Mus musculus: one gene and its partners. The protein of the gene in region 3 interacts with the protein of the main gene of each other region in a biochemical or structural test. Links are inferred from orthologs where the notes say so. Each region holds a gene or a part of one and is shown on either strand. Other genes may lie near its edges. The genes, in order: Dcun1d5, Dcun1d4, Cul2 and Dcun1d3.

The links.
Region 1: of the proteins of Cul2 (region 3) and Dcun1d5, one has a biochemical effect on the other in vitro, tested with the Homo sapiens proteins (2 studies listed by BioGRID, with this or other methods). The link is inferred for Mus musculus from reciprocal best matches to the Homo sapiens genes CUL2 and DCUN1D5.
Region 2: of the proteins of Cul2 (region 3) and Dcun1d4, one has a biochemical effect on the other in vitro, tested with the Homo sapiens proteins (2 studies listed by BioGRID, with this or other methods). The link is inferred for Mus musculus from reciprocal best matches to the Homo sapiens genes CUL2 and DCUN1D4.
Region 4: of the proteins of Cul2 (region 3) and Dcun1d3, one has a biochemical effect on the other in vitro, tested with the Homo sapiens proteins (2 studies listed by BioGRID, with this or other methods). The link is inferred for Mus musculus from reciprocal best matches to the Homo sapiens genes CUL2 and DCUN1D3.

The regions. Positions count from the first base shown.
Region 1 is NC_000075.6:7,180,994-7,189,267, reverse strand, and holds the start of Dcun1d5 (DCN1-like protein 5), read right to left. Parts: upstream 4,764-8,274; 5' UTR 4,472-4,763; coding exon 4,386-4,471; coding exon of another isoform or gene 4,149-4,385; intron 2,501-4,148; coding exon 2,409-2,500; intron 523-2,408; coding exon 452-522; intron 107-451; coding exon 15-106; intron 1-14. UniProt on the Homo sapiens protein: Contributes to the neddylation of all cullins by transferring NEDD8 from N-terminally acetylated NEDD8-conjugating E2s enzyme to different cullin C-terminal domain-RBX complexes which is necessary for the activation of cullin-RING E3 ubiquitin ligases (CRLs).
Region 2 is NC_000071.6:73,487,856-73,495,996, reverse strand, and holds the start of Dcun1d4 (DCN1-like protein 4), read right to left. Parts: upstream 4,972-8,141; 5' UTR 4,831-4,971; coding exon 4,806-4,830; intron 4,567-4,805; exon of another isoform or gene 4,463-4,566; intron 4,340-4,462; exon of another isoform or gene 4,321-4,339; intron 3,815-4,320; exon of another isoform or gene 2,921-3,814; intron 1-2,920. UniProt on the Homo sapiens protein: Contributes to the neddylation of all cullins by transferring NEDD8 from N-terminally acetylated NEDD8-conjugating E2s enzyme to different cullin C-terminal domain-RBX complexes which are necessary for the activation of cullin-RING E3 ubiquitin ligases (CRLs).
Region 3 is NC_000084.6:3,422,222-3,429,695, reverse strand, and holds part of Cul2 (cullin-2), read right to left. Parts: intron 6,228-7,474; coding exon 6,103-6,227; intron 5,247-6,102; coding exon 5,139-5,246; intron 4,185-5,138; coding exon 4,125-4,184; intron 3,602-4,124; coding exon 3,473-3,601; intron 3,380-3,472; coding exon 3,293-3,379; intron 2,939-3,292; coding exon 2,786-2,938; intron 2,534-2,785; coding exon 2,456-2,533; intron 127-2,455; coding exon 60-126; intron 1-59.
Region 4 is NC_000073.6:119,856,398-119,863,871, forward strand, and holds part of Dcun1d3 (DCN1-like protein 3), read right to left. Parts: intron 5,764-7,474; exon of another isoform or gene 5,668-5,763; intron 5,573-5,667; coding exon of another isoform or gene 5,392-5,572; intron 3,519-5,391; 5' UTR 3,414-3,518; coding exon 2,983-3,413; intron 1,660-2,982; coding exon 1,176-1,659; 3' UTR 497-1,175; coding exon of another isoform or gene 190-496; 3' UTR 1-189. Other genes in the region: Rexo5 (RNA exonuclease 5), read left to right, coding at 190-496. UniProt on the Homo sapiens protein: Contributes to the neddylation of all cullins by transferring NEDD8 from N-terminally acetylated NEDD8-conjugating E2s enzyme to different cullin C-terminal domain-RBX complexes and may play a role in the cell cycle progression by regulating the SCF ubiquitin E3 ligase complex, after UV damage.

The DNA of each region.
Region 1 (8,274 bases), on a different chromosome or scaffold from region 3:
AAAAATGTTCTTACTGTAATGAGGTCATTCCCTTTAACCATTCTTCCTTGGTAAAAAATCCCATGCTTTCAGCCTCCAATTTCCATGCTAAAACTAACATAATAATCTGGAAAGAACAGAACATAAGGGATAGGAAAAGTCATCAGAGACAATCATGGCTACAGTCATAATGGAGAACAATTTCAAACAATTATTTCCAACTGTCCACTAAACTCTACAGCTTCTGTATTGTTAACTACAAAACAACTGCCTTAAGACAGTGTTAATGAAGGTAGACCATTACTCTATTACAAACTGTATTTGTATCAAGAAACACCTTGAACTATTTAGGCTGATTTAAAAAAATAAGTAGATGTGAAGAAAAAACTTCATATATTAAAGCCTTAATTTTTAAAATTAATGAAATATTATAATCCGCTTATAGTTCATTCTACTTAGAAATAAAACATACGTTTTCAGGTTCAACACCAATGTCTTCACAAAATTTTTCCATTCCTTCTGGCCCTACAACTTCATCAGGACCTTCAAAGACAAAAAGTAATTTATATATTTTATTACTATTATGAACATAAAATAAACTATTACACTAAAGGCATCCATGAAAATATAATACTTTTACAAATAAGTGAATTTGAGTTTTAGGGCAGCTTTGAAAAGTATAAATATTTGCCAAAATCTTAAAAATCTTTACTCCTTAAATGCTATAATACAATATTAATTAATGATTTCTTTCTTTTTTTTGTTTCTTTTTTTTTTGGGGGGGGTGCAATCTTCTTACTATGTAGCCTTTGCTGGCCTGAAATTTACAGAAATTCATTTGCTTCTGCTTTTGAGTGCTGGGATTAAAAGTGTGAGCTACCACAGCCATTGTATTAAGGAAATATTTTAAAAAGGATTACAAAAAACCTATTCCACTGGTATAATTCAGTAGTTTGCAAAAAGAACAAAAACTGAACCAACATGAACTTACTCATTAACAAAACCAAAAACCTACTGAATAAAGTTTCTGACAATTAATGCTATAAGCACATGAAGGTTGATGTATTGTTTTTCTTTAAACCAGATCACTAAAAGTCAGTGCAATTCCTAAACATTTGCTATCAGATTCCAAAAATAGAGTAATTGTACTGCTTTTAAATCACCTACTCACTGCTTAGAAATCACCTAAAACAAATGTCACGATATGAAATATGACATAAATTTATCACTACAAAAATGTCTTGAAAAAATATTCAAATTCCAACATTGTCCAAAAGACACTTCCTGTGTCTAAATTTCTAGTACTTCCACATATTACCCATATGAGCCTTCACAAGCTATAATTTCCTTGCCTATACACATGCTGTTTACAGTGGTCTCCACAGGAACCACATCTGAAGTCAGGGATCATGCTCTGATTTTTGTTATTATTATGTCCCAAGTATTAGAACAGTGTTGGAGTCACACAAAAGTGTTCCATAAATATTCACCAAATGACTCACTAAATGACAGAAGATAACCTCAAGTGTACTTTCAGTAGAAGTGACAATCAGTTAACATTTGTATAGTCAATGTATCATTTCTAGCATGTTAATCTAAGCTTCAGTTTTCACTCATAAAATGAGGATAACATCTCTTGACAGATGGTTACAGGGAAAATGATATACTTATCACAATCCATGGAACAATGATAGCAATTATTACCTTTACTGTTAAAAATGTTAAGAGTAGAAAATAAATATTTAACTCAATCTTAAAATATCCAGAGAAGTTCTAATAAGAGCTAATACAATCAAGCATTCAAGGGGAAAAGATATATATATATACACACACACATACAAAATGACTATCTTTATGGTATCTAGTAACATTTATAAAGTGAAATAAGATGAAAACCTCTTGATTCGATATAATGTATATGAAAAACTGTCATTTTTAATAATGGGTCAACATTTTAAATAGAGGTCAGAAAAAAAAAAAGAATTCTCTACATTTAATTTGGGTTAGTGGTTGTCTTGGGATACCAGTAATAGCATTTATTTCCCCTGATCTAGAAAGATCACTCTGCTGATCCCAATAGCAAAGTTGTTGCCCCCTTTACATCCTAGTCTAGCCTTCCGTACAGTTAGCTGAAACTTGACAAGATGGCACCACTTAAAACTATAACATGGCTAGTACAAATATAAGACGACTATTACTACGTGTTTTAGCTTTAAGCAAATACTTTTGAGAATAATAATGATAAAAGAAGAAAAAAAATAAAAGTAGGAAAGCAGGTAAGAGAGAAAAAAGTTGTCAGACATGTTCATGGCACTAAATTCTAAGCCTTTAGCCTTGACACTAATCCCAGTACACATAACAGGTCAGCAATAATAAAACACAGCTTTTAAATGGGCATGACTGGTATCTTGCTCCATGAATTTCATTACCTGCATACTCATAAAACCAAGCCAGGCACTTCTTTCTTGAAAAATCTTCCTCTCCACTGATGAGTCTAGCAGGAGGCTGGGATCTGCAATAGCTTAGAAAACACACAAATGCCTAAGACTTACTACGACTCAACGCTTAGTGATAAAGTAGCTTCAACAAGAATTGCTTCCATGTAAATGAGACAAATGGTTTTTAAGTTAGCATTATGAGGAAAGGAGCTATGTATTAGCAATAAGGACCTGTACTCTATGTGTAAGAATTTCTAACCAATGAAATCTAAATGCTTCTTTGCTTGCTACAGGATTCCATAACTAGAAACTAAAATTATTTCCTTAGATTTCAAGATAATAAAGAAGTACATTCTAAGTCTCAACCCAAGACTAGGCTAGACAGCTCTCCCTAGACTGCTCATGCTGGGCTTGCTCTCTACCACTAAGTTACATACCTTATGGAAGGCCTGAAGCCTTACTTCCATTCTGCTACTGATGTGGATTAAAATCCCTGTTATAATTTAGGCTGAATCACCTGAAGTCAAATGATACTGCTCAGCCAGCTGTTTTAACTGACTTAATTTAAATATCTTAGATATGATTCTCCAAGAGCTAATACAGTTAAGAAAAATGTATGCCAAAGGGCATAATGAAAACTCTATTTTATACATCACCCAAAAAATATTACCTAGACTCTTTTGCTAAAACACAACAAGGGGAGAAGAACAAAGCAATCAATTACAAAAAAGATTAGGATGAAGCAAGTCACCTTCATAGTTTAAGCAGTCCATTCTTCACTGCATCTCTCCTTAAAGGGAAATCTCCTTTGTCTAGTGCAGCCTGTCTTTTTTTTTTAATTAGATATTTTCTTCATTTACATTTCAAATGCTATCCCAAAAGTCCCCTATACCCCCCCCCCCCCAGGCCTGCTCCCCAACCCACACACTCCCACTTCTTGGCCCTGGCTTTACCTGTACTAAGGCATATAAAGTTTGTTAGACCAAAGGGCCTCTCTTTCCAGTGATGGCCAACTACGCCATCTTCTGCTACCTATGCAGTTAGAGACATAGGTTCTGGGGGTACTGATTAGTTGATATTGTTGTTCCAGGCTGTCTTGTTGTAATGGTAGTATTTGTCACTTTAAGTGTCGACCATTAATACAAAAACAACTCAAAGTGTATGGGAAGAAGCCCACTTCTCAAAGCTAAATCGCAATGACTTTCTGAGGAATGAATCTGTGATGATTGAGTATATGCCACAAAGCGAGTAAAGGGCTCTAACTTACAGTTCTGCTTTGTTTTCTTTTCCCCTAAGAGAACATGGAGCACAATAGCTTGCTAACGCCTAAAAGGAGGTTGAGAGCTACCAGCGTCTTAATGCCAGAAAACAAAAACCACAAGGGCCTTTTCCAATTAAGTGTACGGAACTGGTACAGGTGAAGTGGAGGCATTGGTGCGTCCAGAAGCCTAGGCTCCAGCGATTTAAAAGGCCTCCTGCTGGGATCGTCCAGGTTAGGCCACTTTAAATGCTAACTCGGGAGACCAATTATAGCAAAGGCTTTCTTTCCATCATTCCCAAGGCAGCTGTCAAAACTCTTCAAGCTCTGCTCCTTTTTTCACACTCTGACATTTAACAATGTGGGGACCAAGCCAATTCTGCTCGATTTAGTGTGACACAAGGACGCCGTGAATCTTGGCAGATCCGCGCTCACTTCTCGGTTGGGAAATTTGATGGAGAATGCATACGTACGGTCGTCTGTTTCCTACCCTCTGGGCACGCAGACAACAAAGTGGGACGAATCTCAGAGCTTGTCCAAGTACGACAGAGAGCACGTACAGGCGAACACGCGGTTCGGTCCCGCGCGGAGCGGAGACTGGGCGCCTCACCGACCGCCTCGCCTGAGAGGGCTCGCCCCTCTCCTCCCGGCTAGCGGCCTGTCCGGCCCCGGGGGAAGGAGAGAGCCAGCGGGGTGGGGACAGGCAGTACCTGGGGATTTTACACTTTTTGAGGCCCGCGTCTTCCGCGACCGCCGCTGCCACTCCGGGAGCTTTTCTCTTCTTCTTCACTGGCATCTTCCGCCTTCCCCGGCAAGGTAGACAGGGCGGCCGGGGAGGGGTATCGCGCTCCGCCGCAGGCCCCGCAGCGCCGGCTCCCGCCTGCCGGGGACCGCAGCGGAGGCCCGAGGCGCGACCCCGCCCCGGGTCTCCTCTTTAGGGGCGGTTCCGGGCAGCGCAGCGCTAAGGCCGGCGGTGTCGCGGCTCGGGCTTTTCCAGGAGCAGCGAACGCCGACAGCGCGGCACCTACAGTAGCAGCGAAGAGCAGGCGGCTTAGCCTGACCCGGAAGCGGATGGCTCTGGACCGGAAGTGACGTAGAAAGGAAGCTCGCAGGGCCTGGAGCGGTCTCTCTACTTTGGGATTTTTTGTCTCTGCAGGTGGAGCCTGAATCTCCGGAGATTTTCTGGCGGGTTTCCAGCGGGAAGTCCTTTCTAGAAATCATAAACGCTCCACAGCTGGCGAGCGAAGTAATCTGGTGAGGAGCCATGCGTGAGTGTGCCCACTCCTGACGTGCAACCGCTCCAGTTTTTTCGGGTGTTCTTGGTGGGCCTGAGATCAACTTCTCGCGCTCCTTGTCCTTTTCTCCCTCATGCTCAGGGTCAGTTTATGGCTTCCTCCTGTGCTGAGGCAACGCCTCCATGTTTTACTTCTGAGGAACTCTCCTCTTGGATAAGAGACTGGGAAACGGACTGACTTATTACAGAGGATTTGGGGAACTGTTCTAATGGGCTGCTCTCAAGAAACAGTAATCACGTCACTTCTAATGGAAATACTGCTTATAAGAAAGGTTTGCTAGGTAAAATTATCTCATAGAAGATTCTTAGTGAATGAAGTCCATGTTTGTAACCCAACTGTGACAGAAGACTGTTTCTTTAAATTCTATCCCTGTGGTTCTGTGACTGCATCGTGGGACCCTAATCTAGTCAAGGAGAAAGAAAAAAACCGGTTGTTGTAATGAGTCCTGGATACATAATATGCCCTGGAATTCACAAGTTTCCTGAGAGAGGACACTTCAATGTTTGGTGCATATAGTTAATGTTTTTTTAACAGTGAACATAATGTTCAAACCTATAACCCATTCGACTCTATTATAAACAATGCACGAAACATTGTTTTTACATGAAAATTATAAAATGTAAGCTCTAAAACAGAACTCCCTACAGGAAGTAGACAACTGAAAGATGAAGGGTTTTTTTTTTGTTTGTTTGTTTTATATATGTATTTATTGTGGGGGCACTTGTGTGCCAGTGCTGGGATGACAACTTGAAAGTTCATTTTCTCCATCAATCTTGTCACTCTTGAGGTGGAACTCAGGTTGTGAGACTTGGGAAGGGACATTATGTCTGTGTACAGAAAAGCACCTAGTTATGTGATTTAATTTTTTCTGCTGCTCGTGATAGTTCTTGATTTTCTATATAGTAAATAATGAGAAGCTATGAGGGTGCTGAGTTCTTTGTTATGTGGTCTAATTTTCTTTGACTAAGTCACAAGAAGGAAAGGAAAGGAAGTAGTATTAAAACAAAAGGGTATTCTGGTTTAGATCCTAAGGTACTCATCAACTTTATGAAGAAAAATCTTAAAAATGCATTTTAGCCGTCTGTTAGTAGAGTGGCACAACATAAACAGATTAAGCACACAAGGCTGAAACAGGTCTATTCATTTGACAGTTTGATGATTTGCATATTTCTTAGGTTTAAGGATTGTAGAATGAAGAAATGGAAAACAGAACTTTTAAAATAGTTATATCTGAATTAATGTAGCCAAAAATAGTCCCAGAGATGTGCTAAGTATATATATATATATATATATATATATATATATATATTCATATTCAGTATAGTTTATATTTTTCCTTACAGCTTTAAAAATAGGACTTTTCTACACTTGTCAAAAATAAGCAAGCACTGGAGGCACAAAAGAATTTATGGGTTGCCCATGTGATTGTTGTACTGAATCCATTTGTTTTCCTTTCCAAAAGTTACTGTTGTTTTTTCAAACACTGTAAGTCAAAATTTTATGAGTTATTTCCATAACCATAAACCCAGAGAATTAGTTGTCAAATCAGGACTTTGTTTTTGACATTTCAAGACAGCACTCAGGAACTAATATTGAAGAGCAATACAGAGATACACACTAGGTAACACCTGCTCCTTGTTCTACTCATCCTATAGCAGTGTACTGGACCACAGCCATTGTATTGGCCTTGTGACTGGATTTCTGTGGGGCAGACTGACATTGAGTGTCATCATCACAATGATACCTATGAAATGATAACAGTGAATCCTGTGCTAGTGGTTAAAGGTTCTTTCCTGAATTGATATATCATTCCTGTTCAAGTCCTGAGACTACCTGAAGTCCCTAGTAAAGAAATGTATTATATAGAACCAAGCAGAGAGCAGCACTGCTGCAATATGATATTTTACTGAATTTTGCTCAAGGTGTTGAGAAAAATGTGTTCATAGAACAGATTTAAAGGGACAATAAGGAAAAAACTCAGGAGTGGTGGTATATGACTTCATTCACCCCAGGTTGGACACCAATGACAGATCAAAGACACAGTTCCACCCAAGTCTAGCTTAATGAGCCAAAGGGTTTATTGAAGTCACTTATAGAACATAGGTGACCGAAAGGACTGTTCCACAGCTGCTTTCCTTGTAGGCAAGAGCCACCTCACCCCAGCAGCGTCGGGTTCCCTATGTAGCCTGGGAGAGGCTTGTGAGTGGTAAATTTCCTGGGCTTCCTGGGGCTTGTAACTCTCACTCTTCCTCAGAGGAGGAAGTGTTTCAATTCAGAGGAAAGAACTACATAATAACTGTTTGCTTCTTAAACTGACAATGTGCCAGATGGAAATTTCCAAGTTCAGTTGTAGTTTCTCACAAGTCTACAATTTCTCACCCTTTCCTCTCAATGGCTTCTAAAACAGCTGTGGAGTCTGTCATCCCAGTTCTTGGGAAGTGAAGAAGGGAGACTGAAGCTTAAAGCCAGCCAATGATACTTTGGGAGACCATGTTGTGTTGCTGTGGGTTTTTTGGTTTTTTTTTTTGTTTGTTTGTTTTTTCTTTCAAGGAGGGAGGAGGAAAGCTAACGAGAAACTTACAAGGCAGGTAATCAGAAGACTTCCAGGGGCTGTGTGCAAGTTGTTCAGGAGCTCCAGGGATGCAGCTTATGGAAGCCATCAACAATGCCATTGAGTAACCTTTGTTCCTGCAAGTGACCTGTCATCCACTATTGGTTCACCAAGATGGAGTTGGTTCTTCAGTCTGTTAATCAGTGCTTTATTTGGGTTTATGGATTGTTGTTCACATCTCTTCCAGAAAAGTTACCCATTAGACTGTCTTAAAAATCAACAAAACAAAACAGGAGACTATTTACTACAACCACTGCCACTATTACCACCAAACACATATTGGCTCACAAATTCTATGAATGAACTATACTAATATAATGCAGGAATAATCAGAGAAATGGTTTGGGAATGACAATTTTAATCATTTTAGTTTTCCTAAAAACATAAATTTTATTTCATTTAAAAACGTATACATTATTTATTTGTCTGCCATGGCATATATGTGGAGATCAGAAGGTAGTGTGGGGGAGTTGGTTCTTTCTAACTTTCCTACTATGTGTGTTCTAGGAATTGAACTCAGTTTGGCAGTTTTGGTGGCACCTTTATCTGCTGAGCTATCTCAATGGCCATTAAAAAAAATCTAATGTCATTTTTAAAGTTCCTGTGAACATTAGAAAAAATGAAATTTATAAAACAGTGAAGTACAAGAAGAAAGAGTGGTAAGAATTACATATTTTTGGAAAGATTATAGCT
Region 2 (8,141 bases), on a different chromosome or scaffold from region 3:
CAGCTGTAGGGACAGGAAGAGATGCAGCCTGTGGTCATTTATCTTGTCAATTTGCCTGAATTTGCAATCTTGAAAAAGACACACTGTGGGTCTGTGAGAGCACTTTTCAGGGGGATTTAACAGCGGGGGGGGGGGGGGGGGGACGACGACCACACGGGACACCTGCCATAAGTGTGGGCAGCACCTTCCCACTGGCTGAACTATAAAATAGAAAGTGGGAGAGGGTCAGTAGCCTCTCTCCTTCCTACTGACACAATGTAACCAGCCACCAGTAGCATTTCTCCTTCCTACTGACACAATGTAACCAGCCTCCAGTAGCATTTCTCCTTCCTACTGACACAATGTAACCAGCCTCCAGTAGCATTTCTCCTTCCTACTGACACAATGTAACCAGCCACCAGTAGCATTTCTCCTTCCTACTGATACAATGTAACCAGCCTCCAGTAGCATTTCTCCTTCCTACTGATACAATGTAACCAGCCTCCAGTAGCTTCTTTCCTTCCTACTGATACAATGTAACCAGCCGCCAGTAGCTTCTTTCCTTCCTACTGACACAGTGAAACCAGCTGCCTCCCAATCCTGCACCTCACTCTCAAAGCGTATCCTCTCTGCTCTGCCAGAGTGTATCCTCGAACTGTAAGCCAGAATAAACCCTTTCTTCTTTAAGTTGCTGTGGTCAGCTACTTGATCACAGCAACAAGATAAGTATTGCATACACAGACTCTCCCTTCCACTTCCAAACAGAAAAAGATGGGAAGTATGTAAGGTTCCAACCAAGGTGATTAAAATTACTGCAGCTTCATTAACCAAAGGAACTAAATCAACTAACTAGCTTGGGTTTTCTATTGCCTTGACTAACTACAAAGCTAGGGCCATATACACAGCCTATTTCCAACACATGGAAGTACCCTGGTACAACCTCAAGTCTAAATGTCCCTGGGAATAAACACTTACCAAAGTCACCAGGCTATTAAGTACCAGGTCCTCAACCGACAGACTGCACTTTGCTCCTATGTCAGCAGAATTACTAGCTATTAATTAATAGCTACACTTATAAGGATGACCATGATGATAATTAAGATGAGAGCAATGCAAACATCAAAACAGGAAGAAGGAAGGAAGTTACGGGGAGGAGGGATACCATCAAGCATTAAGTAGGGGCCTTCTCTAAGCCAATGTGGAGAATAAAAAAAAGTCACTGTATACAAATCCCCAATAAGAAGAGGAGAGAGCTTTCGTCTTTGGCAGTTACAGACAAGACTGTGATGACTATACGGTTGTCAACTTGACTACATCTGGAATTAACTAAAACCCCCAAACTGAGTGGCACACTGGGGAGTGATTTTTGCTTAATTTTAAGTGGGAAGATCCACTTCTATTCTGGACCTTTGAGGTGGGAAGACACACCTCTAATTTAGGCCAAGCCTTCTGCTGGAATCCTAATATAAGGACATGGAAGAAGGAAGCTTTTGTTCTTTGCCTGCTTGCTCTTGCCTCAATACCAAGTCCATTCCTTCACTGGCATTAGAGCCTACTTCTTCAGGATTCCAGTACATACCAGCTGAAGCATCTAGCCTGAACAATTACTGGATTCTTGGACCTTCCATACATAAGACAGCCATTGTTGTATTAGCTAGACTACAGCTTATGTATATATGTGTGTATGTATAAGTCCCATGTATGTATGTATGTATGTGTGTATACACATATATACACATACATATGTAAGATTTATATGTATCTATACATATATACATACATATAGAGACAGATTCATTCTATAAGTTGATACTGAGAGGACCTTTATACAACTACCCCTACCAAATCCTTCCAATACAGAGTCAAAAATCTTCAATAAAACTTTCTGAACTATTTAAATGCATAGCTAAATCCACAAGAAAATATAAGACCTAGCCAAGGGCCAAAATGCAAAGGTCGAAAGACGAGTAGTACAGGCTGACAGTGCCTAGGGCTTTGGGGCTTATGGACTAGCTGGAGGACTGTGTGAGGAAGGGCACTTGTTCTTCGGGATGTGATGAGAACAAATGAAAGGAGAAGAAATGCAGACTGATGTTTTCTTTAGATCTTGAAGATCTAAAGAGCACATGCTCCCCCCCACCCCACCCCACCACAATCACTCGGCAACAGCAAATCCTGGATTAAATACTTTGTTGGAAAATGTCCATACTCTATACAAGACAGTTCTTAGAGATTTTACTGCAGGTGTAAGTCAAAACAGGATAGATATAAATTGTTTCCCTAAAACATATTCTCACAAGTTTCTCAGACCTTATTTCAAAAGCCATCCTGTAAGGTCTGGAGAATTAGGAGTGCTTATTGCTCTTGCAGAGGATCTGAGTTCCATTCCTAGCTCTCAGTTGAGTAGCTCACAAGCACCAGTTCTAGGGGACCCTTCATCTGCTCTCCATTGCATCTATATGCATGTACACATACACACACACACACACACACATCTGCTCTCCATTGCATCTATATGCATGTACACATACACACACACACACACACACACACACACATATATATATATATATATATATATACTTAAAATAGTAAAAATAAATTTAAAAAAACATTATCAAACACATAGACAAGTTTAGTACTGTCTTAACTGTGTCAAGTCGTTTCCAAATATTAAAACTCGCCCTCAATATGTTTACCGCTGGGTTATTAAAACACCCCTCCAATAACCATTGCGATTATGGATGTTTCATAGTATCCATTACACCACACAAAAATAATCTTATAGTCCCTACATTTGATTTAGGGTGATCACCAAGGAGAACTGGCAAAGGATGCCCACAAACTAGGAAGACCTGTAATAGTCCAAAGGGAAGGACTTTACAGCCTCATTCGCTTCACTTACATAAAAGTTAAGACATCACAGTTCCCCTTTGCTCACCTTTAGGATTTCATTGCAGGTTCTGGCATGAGACTACTTCAACCCCAAATTCCACTAAGCTGCCATTCTTGATTCGCTTCCAAAAGAAAAATCCCCTAACTCTTGGACAAACCAAGTAGCCCAAGAAATACCCAGTGCAGTTATCTGTATTTTCTTCACAAGGGATATTACGAATCTCTACTTAGTTTCCATACTTATGTAAGGCTATATACTTCACTCTAGACGTCCATACAATGAACACGCTCTAAATGTTCCATGGTAAACGTTGCTTTAAAACGAACGTGTGCAGGATGATTTGAGACTAAGCTTTCGCTCCCCAAGGCAGATGCAGGGGTAAATTATCTTGGAGAAAGGCCAGGGCTTGGCCTGGGCTTTCCCTCTGCGGTGGACACTGTCCCAAGGAACCCAGGCATCTCCCGGGAGAGAATGCATTGAGTCTCCGCGGCATAAAGCACGAGTTAGTCAAGCAAGGAGGGTCCAAGGGGCGCGCTGAATTCTGGGACTCGTTTCCACAGTTACCCACGTGCACCCAATCCAACCGCGGCCCAGGGCGGCTGGGACTACAAGACCCAGAATTCCACGAGACTGCCTTTCCCTTTACACCGGCTCGGGGAGCCAGACCCTAAAGGAAACCCCTAAAGCACCCTCCCGGTGCTTCGGGCGGAGGTAGCTTCTCGCACGCGCGTTGCTATGCCTCCAAAGCGGCCCTCCGTACAAGGTAACAGGTCTTGACGCATCAGCCTCTACACCTGATGGCCAGAAATTAGAGAACTGCGTCACACACTGCCAAACCTACGGACCGCCGGGGACCCCGACAACCTCTTACGCCAATTCCTCCACCCCGCTTCCAGGACCCCTGCGGGTCGAGTCAGCTCGCAGACAGCGGCCTCCCGGTCCTGTAACCCCAGCCCGCGCTGACCTCGCTCCCCGTTGCTCGCCGAACGCGGAGGCTACTGCCAGCCTCGGGACACCTCCCGGGTACCCGGCCCCGCCCCCTCTCCTCAGTGCACCCCGAGGCTCAATGGTGGTCCCCTCCTAGGCTGGAACCGGGCCTCTCCAGGGAGGAGGCGCCTCCCCCAATGGACAGTCCAACGCTCCCCACCCCGCCCCAAGAGCACCGTACCCGAAGATGACAGCCCTCCCAGTCCCCGCTTCTCCCCACCTACTCTTCCTCCTAACTCACTCCGCACACCCTCCCCGACCCCTGTCCCAGCCCCCAAACTGCACAGCAGTCCTATCCGCCATCCACTCCTCCGGGGACCGCCTGTCCCAACACCTGCCCCCCAAGCCCTCTCCCCACTCCCGACCGCCGTCCCGCACACCGGACTCCACAACTCTCCCATCCCACCGCGGCGTCTCCCACTCCATGGCCCCCGTTACATCACCCCCCATCCCCTCACCGGCCCGGCCGCTGCCCCAGCTCCCCACCCATTGTTCCCGCCCCCGCCCCCAGCCCTCCTTCCCATTGTCCCCGCCCCCTCTCCCCTCGCACTCCCCCGCCTTCCCCGGTAGACCGTACGGCTCGGGCCCCGCAAGCCTCACCCTGTACTCGGACCGCAGGCCCTCTCCCTGCCCGCTCGTACCACCCCCGACCCCAGCTGCCAGCGCCCGCCGCCGTCTCCACCTCCGTGCACCACCGACTCTCGGCCCCCGGCCTTCCAGAATGTCCCCCCTCCCCCAACCGCGGAAAGCCAGCCAGTCCCCACCCCCTCCCCGCCGCCCCTGCCCCCGCCCCAGCCGCCCGCAGCGTCACGGCCCTCGGACTCCAGGAGGGGTTCAACCCGCTCCCGGGCCAGGGACTCCAGCGCGATCGGAACCGGAGAAGTGGAGAAGGGAGCGCAGGAGCGGACGCGGTGTGCGGGCCCGCTGGCTCTGTGCTACTCACTGACAGCTGCAGCATCCGAGTGCATTTTCGGGCAGCTCACACCCGCCTGCCGCCCGGGCTCCCGCGCTCCACTCGCGGTCCCCCTACCGACTCCCCAAACCTTAGCTCGCAACAGAGGACCGCCGGCTTCTTCTCCGGCCCGCCCATCCCGCCCTTCTCATTGGCTAGACCCCAGCCGGGGGACCGCCCCTCTTCGGCTCTCATTTGACCGAAGAAGTGCTGGTTGCGCCGCCTGCAGCTGGCAAGGAGGCCCCGCCCCCTAGACTGCAACGTGATTGGCCCCGGCGTCTCGCCTCCGACCGCCCCTGGTGGAGGCCACTGTTCGGAGCCGCAGGTTGGACCCAACGGCTGTCAGTCATTCAGGGGTCCGAAAGCGCGTGGAGGGGCGAGACTGGGGAATTGGTCCACCTTGACCCTGAAGCCCCGCCCTGTGGCGGGCGGATCCTGGAGCGGGAGACCAACCGAGAGCCCAGCCGAGAACCTGGGTTAAGCATCCGAAACAAAGCAGCCTGAGGGACCTAGAGCCAAGCTCCAGCCCACAGGGACTGGTGTTCCCTGGGAGGCCATCGGCCAGATCCCGCTACTGCCCGCGCCCGGGTCCCGCCGGTTCTCCTCAATCGTTTCCCATTGCGGAAAATTAGAAGAAGAAAAATATCTCCGCTTTCCTCCCCTTTATGCCACAACCTTTCTGTCCTCAACTTTGGAAATGCGCCTCTTTTTCAGAGTCAATTATTCAGAGTCATGCGTTACTTGCGCCAAAGGTTTCGAATGCTTCAGGCATTGAACGTCAGACACCTCTGCGGTCCCCAGACAGCGAGAGAAAAACCTAGTGCCACATTAGGCTCTGGGGTCAGCCTGACACCAAGATAAGCCAGGTCCCCTGACTATAAAAGTCTAAGAAACATAAGTCGAACCTGGCCAAACCGCTGTTTAGCAGAGGGAAGCGTTAATGGGGTTGTGATTGTTAAGTGTCCTAAATACTGCTTTTGTTGTTTCTTGGAGTTTTTCAGTACTTGAAAACCAGTTCTCCACAATCACAGGTAATGCAATAACGCTGAGATGTGCGAGGGTGGGCGCCCCGCCCCCACCGCAAACACACACTCCATGTCCAAACCTCGCTTGCCCCAACCACAGCCTGGACAGCCTGTAGATTCCGCCACACGCACTGGATGATATGACCAAAGATAACAAAGGGGTCCTGCGTTAGGATTCTGAATTCTACAGCCCAGGCTCTTGAGTTGTAGAGTTCTGAAATCCGGACAAATGTTACAAGCGCAAAACAGCTTACAGTCCTTGTTATCTACATCACTGTGTTTGTTACTGTGATATGTTCCATCTCATCGCCCTCTATTTCTCTGTAATTAAATTGAATCCCAATAACGCAATCTTTCATATTTGTCATTCAAATGCATATGATTCACTTCATCAAATTGCAAAATATCAGAATTGCATCTGAAGACAAGAACTCTTCATAGAGCATTCTTTTGGGTCTCCTTAACAGGACAGAGTCTTAGCCAAGTCTCATAAACAAAGGAAGGTACTTGTAGGCTCCTGGGTTGGGAGCTTCTATATTTTTTTAAGTGCTTATTCTGGGCAAAGTCTTTTTGTGTTCATTATTCTGTTCCTGATTTCAGCCTAATATAGTAAGAACTACAGTTTATTCGTGTTTCTGAGACTTTCTTATGTATAATATTTGTTGTGTTTGAGTTTTGTTTCCCATATTATTTTGCACAGAAAAGAGGTTTACTTCTTGGTACTTGTAAATTAAAATAAGCCCGTGATTTATATTAGTTATTAATCTGCTATATTGATTTATCTGCAGCAAACTTTATGGTTGTGAGACTATTAAACCTAAAGGACCTGCTGCCAGTTCGCTTTCTCCCTGCTCTCAGCACTTCCTTGACACATAGTATCCAGGAAAAATAAATAAATAAATAAACAGAATTCTAACCTATGCTGGTTCTCAGCTGTTTCCACTAGGTTCAGTCTGACCAGTTTCAAGTAAAATACAGATTTACCCAGATCGGGGTAGGGGGATAGTGTGTAGGTTCCAAATAGTGGCCTCCACCAAGGACAGTCAGAGGCAAGGTGTCAGGGCCAATCACAGTCCGCTAGAGCTAGAGAACTGAGAGGAAGTACTCTTTCTTAGTCGGCTGAGCCTCACTACTGCACAAGTCTCATGAATAATAAAACAACTAAACGATGCTCTGTGAATATCATCCAGACATTTCAACCATCCATAAGAGTATAAATCTTCATGGTCAGGGAACTTGTTATGACTGTTTTCAGTCCCCCGGCACTTAGTGCAGTGCAGTGGCTTCCAACAGTGGACACTGATTCACTGTTCCTAAGAGTGAAGTGGGTGACGACTATTGGGGAATTTTATATCTGAAAGGAACCTCAGAGATTCCAAATCCAACTTCCTCATTATAAGAATATGAGACCGGGAGTTCAAAGGAATTAAGCATCTAATCCAAGTTATCGAACTACCCAAGGACAAAGCAGTATTTAAAAACTCGAGTTTCTGGCTCCTTGTCTACAACTCTCCATCACCACGCTGGTCTAATGAGAAAATCCAAGATTCCTGAGACAGTGCTCTCTCCAACTCCTTAAAAGTTCTACCACACTAATACAAATTCTATTCTTCATATTTGGAATATGGCCTTTTCAAGGAATCATTCAATAAATAATGTTATTTCCATTTTTTTTCTCATTCGATAACTTTCCCAAATAGCAAGGTCCCCCTGTAGAGATGTTTACTGAAATACCATCTTTTATATTTAAATCTGGGGGCAGCGGGTAGTGAATGTCTTGAGACTCAGGGGTGGGCAGATTTGAAGGGATAGCATTGCACTTGGTTATGGTTAAAACATTAACAATACGAACAAGTCACAAAGTGTATTGGGGTTCTCTAGAGTCACAGAACAGGAATGTCTATATTTTAGTGAGAATTATTGGTATGACTTGCAGTCTGCAGCCCAACTAAGCTAACAATGGGCAGCTCTTAATGGAAAGTCCAAGAATCTAATAGTTGTTCAGTCCCACAAGGCTAGGTGTTTCAGCTGGTCTTCTGTATAAGCTGGAATCCTGAAGAAGTTGGTTCCAACTGATGTGCTAGCAAGTAAGTGCACGCAGGCAGAGAGAATAAAAAAGGCTTCCTTCTTCCATTGTCTTTATGTAGGCCTCCAGATTAAAGGTCTCTACCACCATGCCTGAACCTAAGGTTTTCTTTAGTTGGAACTTGCTCTGTCTCGGGCTGATCTTGAACTCACAGATCTGTTTGCATCTGTCTCCTGGGATTAAAAGCATGTACTCCCTTGTCTGGGCCTAAGCTTT
Region 3 (7,474 bases):
TCTAAAGGAATACAATCACATAAATATCATTCAATGAGCAGTAAGGAATCATTCTTTACCTGTACAGAGATAATGCAACCATGTCAGCTTCCGTCCACTGAAATGCTGGCTATAAAACAATTCAAACTGTTGAAAGAGAGAGATGTCAAGCTATTTGAAGGTCCTGAAACTTCTTTATTATGATACTGTAAAGGTAAAAGCATCTTAACCCACCTAGTGAAAACCTTGTTCAGAACCTCTGTGCAGATCGTGACTAGCCCCCGGCTATGTGGGTGTGCTGGCACCATTGTGGTTCCTCTGCTGAGTCTGCAGCAGCTTGCTTGCTCTGGTTCTTGCACATAGAGCACTCTACCCAAGTGCACACTCATAGTCCCAGAGACATGCAAAGCTGACACAGGCTCACTTCAATCCAGGAGTCTGAGGCTATGCTGGGAAACAGCACTAAAAAGGGGCAGGCAGAGTAACTTGGGCACTCAACTGCCATGCAGGGCAGACACGGCTCTGAAATATTTCTCTTCTACAGCTTAAGTTGCTATGACATGTCAGTATGTTATTTATTCCATGTTATTTTTGTGTGTATGTATGTAAAGGGTAAAGTTAACAACACGGGCATGCCATCCTCAAGCATTTCTTTACATTATTTCGAAAGAGGGCTTCATTGAATCTGGAGCTTGCTCTCTGGGCTATACTGGCCAGTCATGAATCCCTGGTGTCCTTGCATTTTCACTGTGCACAGCACTGGGCACTAGAATCTAAACTCACATCCTCACAGTCCTCATGTTTGAGCTGCAGTCACCTCACCCCACCTCAGCCTCTGAGCCTCAGTCCTATCCCATTCCCAAATCAACACCTGCTAATTTTACTTCTTTGTATAAAATCAGAAATAATATCAATGGCAATATTAATCTGTATTAATACATTAACCTTATATTAATATATTTTGTTTAAAGACCAAATATACCATCACATACGTTTCAACATGAAAACCATACTCACATTTACCAGCACGTAGTTTCCCATAAATGACAGGCTAGCCCATGTACATGTGTAGTTAATACAAAGTGGGGTCTATGATATAACAATTGTGTAAACAATCACATGAACAAAGTTTTAGGGTTCAAGGTGTCTATCTACTGCCCTTTTGCTGATATTAGTACATTTAACTTTATAATTGCATGAACAAGAGTCTAAAGAGTCAGTACTTAACAATGCATACTCCAATTGCAAATGACATTTTGGATCACAGAACCCATAAGAAATGGCTTATAGATTGCTCACAACTCCAGTTCCAGGGGATCCCACAACCTCATCTGACTTCTGAGTTCCTGAGTTCAATTCCTAGCAACCATATGGTGGCTCATAACCATCTATAATGAGATCTGGTGCCCTCTTCTGGCCTGCAAGTATACAGGCAGGCAGAATGTTGTATACATAATAAATAAATGTTGAAAAAACTTCCTTAAAATTTATTTTTATCAAAGCTTAGGAATTAAAAAAAATTCCTTGGCTGGACTGGATGTATAAAAGACATTAGTCCTAATTACATTTGTGTTGGGGTAGAACCCAAAGTTTCTTCGTGAGTGACAGACTTAGTTTTACTTTAAAAAATGTATTTATGTATTTGCCCATTTATGTGCATATGCAGACTCTCAGACAACCTCAGACAGGTCAGTCTTTAGTCTTCTAGGATTTCTGTCCCACTTTAGAATCACTTCAAAATGCAGCTTTCACATATTATGCTTTCATATCTCAGTCTATACCTAACACTTGTCTCAATTACAGGAAAATTAAAATATTACCAGAACTAAATGAAGCCTAAAAATGGCTTCAAAGTTCAAATGGGAAAGTAGAAAGATTTGAAGCTTTCTCTTTTTTTCTAAAATAATACACATTTATTTACTTAACTATGTATTTGGAATGGTGGTATGTTGTTCATGCTAGGGCCACACATGAGCGTGAAAGGACGACTCATGGGAGCTGACTCTCTCCATCAATCTCGAGGGGTGTGAAGATTGAATCCAGTTTGTCAGGCTTCACCAAGCAAGTGCCATTACCCAACTGAGCCATCCATTGCCATTATCCCTAAACTTACATAAAATACCACATCCTATGAACTACAGGTGCTTACTAAGAGCTGATGAGGTTCCTGTGTATTACAAATAAACCCCAAACTGAAACACACACATCACACACACACACACACACACACACACACACACACACACACACACCACACACACACACACACATCACACACACACATCACACACACACACAAAGCATCACTACACACACACACACATCACACACACACACAAAGCATCACTACACACACACACACTACACACACACAGAGCATCACTACACACACACACACATACTACACACACACAATCACACACACAGAGCATCACTACCATGCCTTTGTTTACTGTTTGCTTCCCAGAACACTTACCATCTGTACACTTTTCTCTAGCTCTTGGGGAATTGCAAATGTAGATGAAGGAGCCTGAGTGAGAGGCCACGCACCAGCCTAAAAAGGAACAGTGAGATAAAACGTTCAACAGATATCTACCCCAAAAAACCCATTTCAATGGTGAGCTGCTGAGACACCTTTTCTCTTTCTTGGAATTCTGACAGTGCTATGGCCCATTTTATTCCAAGTCTGTAAAATGTGGTCCACAGCTCAAAAGCTGACTAGACGTTATCAGGCATCATTTGCTAACCTTCTATATTACATTGTCAAAATGATTCATAAATCTAAAAAAGAAAAATACTATCATACCTGAAGAACATATATTTGGAAACTAATCCCCAAGTCAATCACGGTGTCTTGGTTTCTGATGAAATTGTTGAACTTATTGTTCAAATCAGCGCTGACACTCATGTCTGTATACATTCGATGCAGCTTGCTGGTAAACTCATAACCACAGGCTTGCTGGAAAACAAGTTGCAAAGAATATAACCTAAACTGAGAATGACCAGCCAGGGATCAATTAGGAGACCAGAGGGTTTTATTTTATTTTAGTTGTAGTTTTTGTTTTTTTTTTTTTGTTATCAATACTGAACTTAAAGATCATCTTAAATCACTGGAAACCTCTGCCCCTTTGAATCTCATACTGACACCCAACACTGTACACAAATACACTCATGCCTGACCACTTACACAGCCTGCTGTATGTATACACATCAATGACTGCTGAAGTATACAGTCATTACATATAATGAGCATACTTGGCTGTTGGTACAAGATTTCTATGATATTATCTATCACACTAAAGATTTATGGTACCTTTAATTTATTGATCATGGCTTCTTCAGAATCCATAGACATAGACAACCCGTGAATTAGACGTTTTGCTAGCATTCTTGCATAGAACTGCAGGAAAATGGGAATGGTTACTTTTGTTGTGACTTGAAATTCAAAACAGAGTGAAGCTGGTAACTCTGATCTGAATGCTGTTCAGCTCACCTTCTGAAAGACGTCCTTGTCATCAATGTACTTGAAAACTGTGATGAAGCTAGTGAGCTTGTCCTCCACTTCATTTTCAGTCATCCCCTTCGCTGACTTCTTTAGCAAGTTGTCACAGTACTTAGCAAGCTCAAAGAGAAAGTAATAATACATCTTACAAAGGCCCTTTGGACAGACACTTCAAAGGCGGCAACACAAAGCCTCATAGGTTTGTCACTTAGAACAGATGTAAGAGCATAAACATGAAAACAAGCCGGTAAACGGTTACCATCGATGGGACAAAAGCAAAGCAAAAGTGGCTCAACAGATGTTGAAAGCTGTTACATCCTAAAGTTATACTTTAATATTATGAATGTAAAACATGCGTGATCAGCTAAGTTTTAAAAACATAAGACACTAGAACTAAGAAAAAAACCTAATCAGATAATGAATAGTATGCATGCCTTTTTAACAGGATTATCATCTTTATGAAATATTTTCTCCTTTGGTTAAAAAAAGGAACATTGTTTAATGCATTCTGAACGTAAATTTAAATATATATATAATGCGGACAATTTTCATATTCTGAAAATGAGTACACAAATTAATTTGCCATTCTAGTAACTTCCCTTTACAACTTCACATGAGATTACCTTCAAGCAACTAAACTTACCAGTTCAGGCGCTTTGCAAACAGACTTGGGTTCTCTGTAATTTACAACAGATGTAAGGGCCTAAACGAGAAAACAGCCCAGTGATTAGTTACCAGAAGGAGGCAAAAGTGGTGGCTGTGGATCTGATCTATGTCTATAATACCCACAGTTTAGCTATCTCTCTTTCTATCTCTGTATGTAATGTATAGGTGTTCACATAAAGAAGTATAAACATAAATGAAGGCAAGGTCTACCTTAGCTATTGTTCTTCAAAATCTTCAGAGTCTGTCATGAGACTTAGGGTGTAAGCTAGCTGGACAGCAAGCCCCATGATCCCAGCCTTCTCCAGCACTAGATTACACTATCACACCATTGTTTTGACATGGGTACTGGAGGTTGAGCTATCCCCAGCAACTCTCAAGGCCATGTGTTAAAAGGGATATTGGCGGCCCAGGGATGTGGGGCTTCTTTTCCTTCTTTCTGTGCTACTTTCTGTCACCATTAGGTGAACATCTTCATGTACTATGAGAAGCCCAAAGCAACATAATTAGTTAGGCAGAAACTTGTGAAACCCTGAGTTAAAAGAATTCCTTCTGCTTAGCTCTGTTCTGTTAAATTAGCAGGAAGATGACTATCTCACAAATCAAGAGTCAATTTCTTATGTCAAATATCAATTCAAATTCATGGTGTCTTTCAAACCAAGAATGAATACAGTCTAAATGTGGTATAGGTTAAACAGAAATATAGTCCTGCCACTGCCGGGGCTCTAACAAAGGACCAGAACTAAAGAAAATTAGAATTATGCACACCAGGTCACTAATAACTCAGAAAGACTGACATAAGACACTATAAGTTCATTTTACCACTTTAAAATTTAAGATTCCCAAATTTAAACTAGTTATTTAATGTACATTTCAGTGCTCAAGGTTCTCAAACTTGACTGCCTAGCAAAGATGCCCAACTGAAAACCACATCACAGGTTAAAGAAAATCCCATGTACAGATCACATGCATGGGTTATTTGTTTTAAAGTTACCTTATCTAAAGCACTCATAAAATGCTGATCACCATTCAAAACAGTGTTGATAAGTTGAACGAATTTACCATGTACTTCCAAAACTGATTCCACAAATAGTGTTGGCATCTAAAAACAAAATACAAAGTATAAATTCACATTTTAAGATTTTCAAGAACAAAACTTGAATAAAGAATATAGTTTATTTTTTTTATACTTATATACTCAAATTATACTTATACTCCTCCATATCCCCAACTCCATATCTCTGGTTACATTGGTCTTAAAAGTTTAAGACTTCTCTTTATCTATCAAATGGGACTGCCATTCAACAACAGCCTGACAGGTCCTCTGCCATGTAAAGGCACACATACTACTATGCTGGGTCACAGGGGGATCCCTAAATCCCAGGCCCAACTACACTAGGATGAATTCTGAGAAGGACGAGAAAGCCTGTGTGTGCCTCAGAATGAGGTCCTGGAGTTAGTTGGGTAGAATTAAGTTTTTGTTCAATGTCACTCAATACTTGGAATCTGCAAACCTAGCAATAAACTATGAACATGCCTAGTAACAACAGCAACAAATACATGGTCACTAAGTAGCAAAGGCCATTTCAGATAAATGAAGGTCAGGCAAGGTGAGGGTATTTCACTGTGGCATTTTGAACGGCAAGCATAGAGGCAGAGGAGGCTTTAAAAATCCCCCATGTACAAAGCAACATGATTGTGTACACACTGCAAATAGTTTCCTGTCAGAAGGTTAACAAATGCTACGTGGCAATCAGTACTGTGAGGAAGAGGCTGATCAATGGTTTTAATTCCAAGAAAAGCTCAGTAAATTCAAGATTTAAAATATTAGAATACAGGTGCCCTAGTTTTTCATGACAAATTATTTTATAGCCCATCAAAGTTAAAAAAAAAAAAACCCACAAACCCTATATACATCCCCCTAAGAGGAAGCATTCTAGCTCCCCTGTGCAACTCACATGTTCCTGAGTAAGGTTACTGGTCGCTCTGAGGCCCTCGTCATGGATATGTTTCTGCAGCTCCTCAATCATATGAGGTAAACCACTGGACACAGCACGGAGTAAGACGTACATATTTGCCATGTCTGAGAGGAAAAAGTTTATTAACTTCCCAAAGAACCTTATTATGTAATACATGCTTTTAAATGTACAACTTAAATGTACAGTATGCGGATAAAAGCCATCTGCCACTTGAATCCAAACACACAAACTCACTTACCAGCTGCTGTGCCATACTCCCCAAAAGAAGACAGATGTTGTTGCTGCTTTCTATGTAGTGGTGGTGGAGGAAAATCAAGAAAATACTCATATTCTTCCCCTTCTTTTTCACTCAAGTGCTACTATACATGTGTGTGCTACTGGTAACTACAGAGTATCTTAACGTACAAGTATTTTATACTGGACGATAAAGCAAATCCACACATTTCACAACTTTATTAGTTACTTGGAAACTAATGGGAAATTATATTGTAATTAAAAATATGAGCAAGAATATCTGTACTGGCTGGTTTTGTTTGTCAACTTGACACAAGCTGGAGTTATCTCAGAGAAAGGAGCCTCCCTTGAGGAAATGCCTCAGATCCAGCTATAAGAAATATTTTCAATTAGAGATCAAGGGTAGGAGGGCCTATTGTGGGTGGTGCCATCCTCGGGCTGGTAGTCTTAGGTTCTATAAGAAAGCAAGCCAGTAAGTAACATTTCTCCATGGCCTCTACTTTCTGATCCGCTTGAGTTCTAGTCCTGACTTCCTATGGTGACGAACAGCAATGTGGAAAATGTAAGCTGAATAAACCGTTTCCTCCCCACCTTGCTTCTTGGTCATGATGTTTTGTGCAGGAATAAAAACCCTAATATGTGTAGTAGAAACCTCTATTAAATGTGCTATGGTTGTGTCAATCTTATGGGCAGATCCTTCTAAGCAGAGAACCTAGCAGCAAGGTGAGAAGAGATGGCTCAGCAGTTAAGGACACTGGCTGCTCTTTCAGAAGCCACAGTCCTATTCCCAGAACCTATATGGTGGCTCATACCTTCACACAGACATATATATATATATATATATGCAGGCAAAACATCACAGCACATAAAATAAAAAATAAATGAATAAATCTTTTTTAAAAAACCTCCCGTGCCACTGAACTGTGTACTGTGTTTATCTTAAACATCTTATTGAGATGTAATATACATGCAGACAACTAGACACATATGGCTTTGTGAATTATTATAGATGAACACACAACACCCCAAATATGCACACCCAGACTTAAAATAATAGACATTACCTATACCTAGAAATGCCCTTGATCCATCTCCCAATACTGCTCCTCTGTAAGGG
Region 4 (7,474 bases), on a different chromosome or scaffold from region 3:
ACAACGTGGGCGCAGCAAAGAGGGAGAGGGCACACAATTTAATGATTCAATACACGTGGATAATTTGTTTGGCAGAGTTCAGGCCAGCCTCAGGCTTCTGCACTTGCCAGACAAGTAAGCTAATGATACTCAACAAAACTAGAGAAAAAACAGTTTGAAGCAGAGCTCCATGCCACCGCTTTCTTTCAGGTCGGCTGGCAGGCACACTTTTCTCACCACCCAGAACGGAAACTTTGGCTCCAAGGCAAATGAAAAGGGGAGAAAAAGAAGTATTTCCACTTATGACATGAAAATACAAAAACATCAAAGAAAACTATCAAAGAAGTCTACTTCCAGCAAAACTGAGGTAGCACTGCTTTCTCTGCATTCAATGCTTAAGTGGTTTTCAGTACAATGTGTTCTAACAAAACAAAACAAAACTGCTCACTTGACTGACAGGTACAGCATGATGATGGGTAAGTTAAATATGAAATGCAATAGGTCAAAGAAGGAATGAGCAAGAAGTGAGGGAGACAGGGCTTTGGATAAATTAGCTTAAAGGGACGGGGTGGGGTGTCAGACTGCAAATGCTCTTGACTGGCCTTGGCCTTGGCTCTCCAAGAGCTCCAAACTGTCTGGAAATTAATGCAATGTGGCTAACAGTTAACACTGCTATATTCATATCTGTGTAAATCTTTTAAAATAATTATTACAACCTAAATTCAACCATGTAAACAGCACTACACACAGTACAGACCTGCCCTGAAAAATAATATGCAAAACTGAGGTCTGGCACTGCATCATTTTGTAATGTTAATTCAACCTAACAACCCACTCCCAACCCGGGCTACACCCTCCCCTCCCCCACAAAACAAATCCTATCAAGTTGTGCAAGAAATGGCAGGCTTATTCTATCTGAAGGCTTCAAAAAAAGGTACACAACATGTAGCCAGGTTCAAATATTTTGGGGGATTTCCCACCCCCAAAAAAGAAATAACCAAAATAACAAAAAAAAAAAAAAATGAAGAAAGTGCCTAAAACATGATACAGCATTTTAGAGCCCTTTCAAATACAAGGCAGAGAAAGGTGTAAAGTAGAAAATATCCGGATCTTCAGTAATTTCCAGAAAGGTCCAATTCCTCATTTGGCTGCAGGGCAGCAGGCAGATCCTCAGTGCTGCTCCTGGAACAGAGCGGCTAAGTCTGCTCTTCTGGACACAAGCCCTCTTGCCCTGAGCTGAGTGTACCTCTCCCTTCCACTTCTCTTTTCCTTCTCTCCATTTCCCACTCCACAAAGGTATCAAAGAGACTCGGCCAGGCCTCATCTTCACTGTAGTTGCTGAGGTCGGGGCCAATCACCTGAGTGAAGTTAAGAAACATGTTCCAAGTGTCCCGGGAGATGCCCTTGATTCCCGAAGGGTTCTCTGTTAGGAAATTTAGCCACTGGTCCAATACTGGAGGATTGTTCTGTGTAAATACTAGTTTCCATAGGGCAATGGCTATTTCACGATGCAGTGACCGCTGCCCTTCTTCAGAGTCCAGGCCAAACTGAAATGTAAACCGGTAGAGATCCTTGAATTTATCTTCTTGTTTGGCTTCTGTTAAGAGGCTAGGGAACCGTGCACAGATCCCATCAATGCTGTCTGCACTTATTGCTTTACAGCCATCAAAAAACTCCTTCCTGTGACAGGTAGGAAAAGGTATGATTAATAAGTAAAAGTGATTTAGTATATGATGAGGCAAGACAGCACAGTTAACAGCAACTAATCCTCCCAACCTGCAGCCCTCAGAAGGCAGAGACAGGATCTCGAGTTCTAGGCCAGCCTTGTCTACTAAGGTCAGCTAAGGCTGTAGAGTCAGACCTTGCCTCGAGAATAGATGGGTGGGTGGGTGGTTAGATGGGTGGCTAGATAGATAGGGCCCAGTTTAATTCTCCCAACCTACATGGCAACTCATAGCAGCCTATAAATCCAGTTCCAGGGGTTTAACACACTTTTATTTTGCCTCTGAGGATACCAGGCATGCACCTAAGAAATATACAATGTGGGCAAGACACCTATATACATAAAATAAAATAAAATAAAATAAAATAAAATAAAATGGAGAAAAAACCCAACAACAATAACTGTGCCTTCTGGGGCATGGCAAGATGGCTCAGCAGGTAAATATACTTGCCACCAAGAATGATAACCTAATTTTGATCTCAAGAGCATACATGGTAAAGAAAGCCAAATCCCTCAAGTTGTCTTCTGGCCCCTTCACATTTAAAGCATGACACATATGCACGTATACATGCACATTAACATATTACATACTACTACCAAAACTGTAGTAAAAAATTTTTTTTTACTGTTTTTGTTTGTTTCTGTTGTTTTATAAGATAGGACCTCACTATGTAGCTCATACTAACCTTGAATTTTCTACCCCTATGTCTCAGCCTCCTGGGGGTTGGGATTACAGACAGGTATCACCACATCCAGCTGCATATGTGCTTTTTAACATGTATTCAGCACTTTGCAGTTTGTAACAGAGTTTCATACTAATTATCTCAGGGACTGTGGTGGTGAGGCAACTACTCTACTGAGCAGGTCATATATATTAGCTGTGTTTTAAAGTTCCTTCTGCCAGGCCAGGTATAGTCATTCACTCCTTTAATCCCAGCACTCAAGAGGCAGGGAGGCAGAACCTGAAGTCTGAGGCCACCTTGTTCTACATATCCAGTTCCTGGCCACTAGGGCTATATAGTGAGACCTTGTCTTAAAAAAATAAAATAAAGTCAGTTCTTATTCATAACCCTGCACTCTTAAAACCATGGTCTTCCATGACCCTGACATATTCTTATACACAAACAAACAACCCCAATATGGATACATAACTTTGACAAATTATGCAACTGCTACTTGATAACTGAAGCCATCCCAGTTCTATCCTAGTTGGTACCACTATCCAGTGTCACACTTTCCTCCTCTGCTCCCCTGGTGACATGAAAGCATCTGTGACTAACCTGGTGAATTTGCACATGGTAGCAGCCTGGAACTTCCAGGCCAAGAGCAGCACTCGAAATTCTGTAGGATCAACACATAGGTCATTGCAAAAGCGCTCCATGCCTTCCTCCAAAATTGCATCCTCCCGCTCATCCTTGTAGCGCCTGAATAGTTCTTCCAACCTCTGCAAAGAAGACTCCTCAGCATTGGTCTTGGACTCCCTCCCAGCATCTCCAGAAGAAGTTGGCAGCTGGCAGGCCTCAGTGGCAGCCTCTGCTTTCTTGGTCCCATTGACAAGAATATCCCCAGCTGGTTTGCCACAAGGTGGCACCTGTTCCTCACGGTGGCTAGCCCCCCGCCTGCTGTGTGACTTGTTGCTGGGGTCCCGGTCTCCATTCTTGCTGCCCAAGGTTGATGAAGGATTCTTGCACTTGGTGACACACTGGCCCATGGTGGTAGTACCCTGGCCTCTAGAGTGGACCCCTCTGGATCAAATGCCCTCGCTGCCACTGGCCCATGTACTTCAACATGCCATCAGTTAGAGGAGCCAGGCAACCTGGAAGGAAATTACAAAATAGTTAACACTCTATTTCACTGAGCTAACAATGAGACAGGGGAGAGAACCCTATCCCAGCTCACCATTACCTCTCCTGTAAGTCAGCTCTGTGGGATGCTTACCCTTGTGTCTGGTCTACAGAGTGAGTTTCAGGACAGCCAAAGCTATACAGAGAAACCCTGTCTCGAAAAACCACAACAAAACAAAACAACAACAACAAAAAAAAAACAGACCAAAAAACCAGTTATCTGGACCTGAGTTAAGCCACAAGTTTACATCTGGTTCTATACCTAATACCTACACATTCAGATTTCAACAAAGATTGCTACAAACTTTTACTCTCAGCACAACATAAGGAACACCTTAGAGGGTAAATGACCTTGGCCTGGTAGCCATGGCAACTAATTGAGCAGAACAATACAGAGGTAGCAGAGTCTCTGATAATGGTAAAGGATGGAAGCAAGGAGAGTTAAAGGAACCTCACCTCACCACAAGCATCCCTCCCCGCCCCCTTACAGACCCTGCACTACGCGTGGAAAATTAACTGAAAGCAGGACTCCATGAGGAAACCTCCATCAAGTCTTCAGTAACAAGATGCTGTAGCTATTTTAGGGTTACTCATGCTCCTGACAGTAACCCCTCACCTGTACTCTGTCAAGCTGGATTCTAGTAGAATAGAGATGAGGCCATATCCAGGCCACCTGTAATCGCATAATGGTCTAATGGTGAAGTAAGAAGTGTCAAAACTACAAGCAGGGGCCTAGACAAACAGCAAAGTGCAGTGTGCCTGGATCTCTGGATGCACAAAGGTGTACCGTCCTAGCTCCACCCTGTTCCACCCACCTACATAGAGCCTGTACTCCAGGTACTTTCCCAACCTAGGTGTGTCTCCACACCCAATACAATCTCTAAGAGATAAAACTGCTGGATCAAAAGGCTACACTGACACTGAGCAATATCTATTTTAACTAAGTTTTTATATGAACTGCTAAAAATGTGTGAACAAAAGCAGAAGCAATTTTCAATACTGCATACTTATGAGTTGTTATTAACCATCAACTATTTTGTTATAATAGAAAATCCATTTATGATTTAATACTTGCAAACTTCTGCTAAGTGTTAGAACAATAGCAGCCACTGTCTGTTAGTATGTAGAATGTAGCAAAGAAAGCAGACACTAGATAAAAATCAGTGTCAGCCAGACTTGGGCCTCTCACTTCTAAGGAGCCTTCATGATTCTTCAGGGTGCAAAGTCAGAGCTCACTTAAGAGTCTGGTGATAGGGCAAAGGGCAGTTGTTAAGAAAAGCTGAATAAACAAAAACAAATAAAAAAATAAACAGCTTCCACCAAACAGTGCCTGGATAAACTGGAGTTATCTTCAAAGGGAATTCTCTCTAAAAGGAAGCAGAGAGTATAGTCATCTAAAAAGAACCACAATCATTCCTGTAGTTAGGCAGACTCCTATAAGGGTGTGTCCTATTCTCCACCCTCAGAAACAAAAGACATGTCTACACATGCCCTCAAAAGAAAGGCAGTTTCAATTTGCTTAAGCCAAAACAAGACACACAAAGAAACTCTTAAAAGTGCTTTCGCTGTGAAAAGTGACAGACCCAAGCATGGCTTCTCACAGGCTGTTATACGCTGAGCATGTAGTAAGCCATAAGTGAAACCAATTCAAATCTCAAAAGGCAAAGGGTTAATTCTTGGAGAAGAATTGTTCGAGCAGAATTCTCTCTAAACAAGAAAGACTGCAGCATGTGGAGGGTCTGGTTTCCAGATTTGTGTTTCTAAAGACTGGATTGCTGAAAGAAACAAAAGGCCCAAACTTACACAAACCCCACATGCTCACAGACTGGCAACTCTAATTCCCAGGCTGGCTGACTCACCAGTGTTTGCTGCTCAGATCCTGCTGCAGGAGGCCCAGCACCCGGGTGAGGTAAGAGGATTTCCTGCCCTGCATCTGACCCACCTACCCAGGCTGCTCACCCCACCCCCACTGGACAGATGCTTCTGTACAGCAGCTCCCTCCAAAGCCTGGCGCCAAGGCCTGCAGGTAAGAGCAGAACAGATGGGGCTCCCATAGAGGCCCAAATCTCATTTACTCTGCTGTGCCTCCATGTAAAAGCATCTTTTGATGACCTGATACAGCGGAACCAGTTGAAACCTGAAGGCTTTTAACATGCTCAGCAGATGAGAAAGAGGAAAATCAATGTGGACAGATGATCAATCACACAATGACAGAAGGTCAGCTTTCTCCCATCATGGCTCCTTTCTTTAAAAGGTTCCCATTCTGGTGGGGTTGAGCAGTGGTCTCAAGTCAGAAGTCAGTATGTTCTTTGCTAGTGGGCACTGCTCCTTGGTTGCTTGTTTATTTCCCCTTCTGGCAGAGCCTTCAGTCTTTCAAAGTCTCACTGGCTGTTAGCTAACAACAGCAACCATCAATTACTGGGCATTTGATACAGGGCCAAACTCTATGCTAACTAAGCACTTTAAGAACACTAGCACACGTGCCCTCCTCACCATAACCCCATTTAAAGACAGGAAAACTGAGGCTCTGCATGTAGTAAACTTATGCAACATCACAGAACAAACAGAACCTGGAATGTTTAGTTCAAGAAACCATGACCTGTATAACTGAACCCACATCTGTCAAAGCATCATGGGACAATACACTGAGGAATGGGCCTTGAGGTGAGGAACAGATACAGCAACCTTAGAATATCAAATCTTAACCATCAGCCACTACAAAGAACATCATACTGTCTGTGTGCACACATATACACACACTCACCAATAATAATAATTTAAAAATTATAACAATAGGCCAGGCGTAGTGATGCATGTGTTTAATCCCAGCACTTAGGAAGCAGAGACAGGCGGATCTCTGTGAGTTCAAGACCAACTTGATCTACATAGTGAACCCAGTCTCAAAACATAGAAAGTCTCATACCACATTACTGACCATATTCAAAAGCTCCAAAGCCCCAACATGTGGAGAATCAGACTCTCCACAGGAAGGGGTTTCCTTGTGATTGATCCTCAATAAAACCAAGCTGTGCCTGGTAAAAACTGTAAATTGCTAGCCATGCCCTGCTCCTAACCTGAGGCAGGCTTTCCTGTCATCTTGCATCCATCTCTATAGGTTTGCAAAGACAGGATCTCTAGCTTTCTAGGCAATTTCACTCAGTTAGTGACAGTGTCTTCCCAGGTGCCTTACTCCCTCTCACTGCCACCTGCTGACAGCCTTTGCACAATCTAGATATTCCAGTGCCAAGTTTACAAAAACAACACAATTATTAGTAATGAATACCACTTTCTATTTGCTATATTGTATATTGTTATAACAGCAGTATAGAAACATAGCTCTCTGAAATAATTATTGAGTTCCAGGAAACTAAATGGCAGCACACTGAGGTCAAGAAGCTACCTAGGAAGGGAGAAAACAGTGCAGTTATCAAGAGGTTGGGTGCATCACAGTGAAGGCATCTATTAACCAGACCTGTCTGCAGCTTATTCCACTGCGCCTCAGGACTCTTGAGTGGAGGAAATGAGATGGTCCATGCATCTGGTGCACAGAAGCAGTCAATGAAGGGTCCGCCTCTGTAATCATTATTATTACTGCTATCACACAGTCACTGACAGACCAAAGCTTCCTTTACCGAAGGAATTGTTCTTCAGTAGCCAGCCCAGCTCTATCAGGGCAAGTCAAATGTCTCAAGTGACAGCTCTCCTGCTTTAGCTCTGTGGCACAAATGAGTCAAACAGAGCCAAGAACAAAAGAGAGGTGGGAAAGGGGTGACTGAAAACCTCAGTAGGGGAGGGGGAACTACTCATGCACACATACAATAACTGGGGTACCTATTCTAAGCCTGCATACTCCTTTGAATATGTATTTACTGTCAGGAACTTTGTTCCACTTACAATGGGTCATCATAGTATCCAGCTTTTGTCCTCC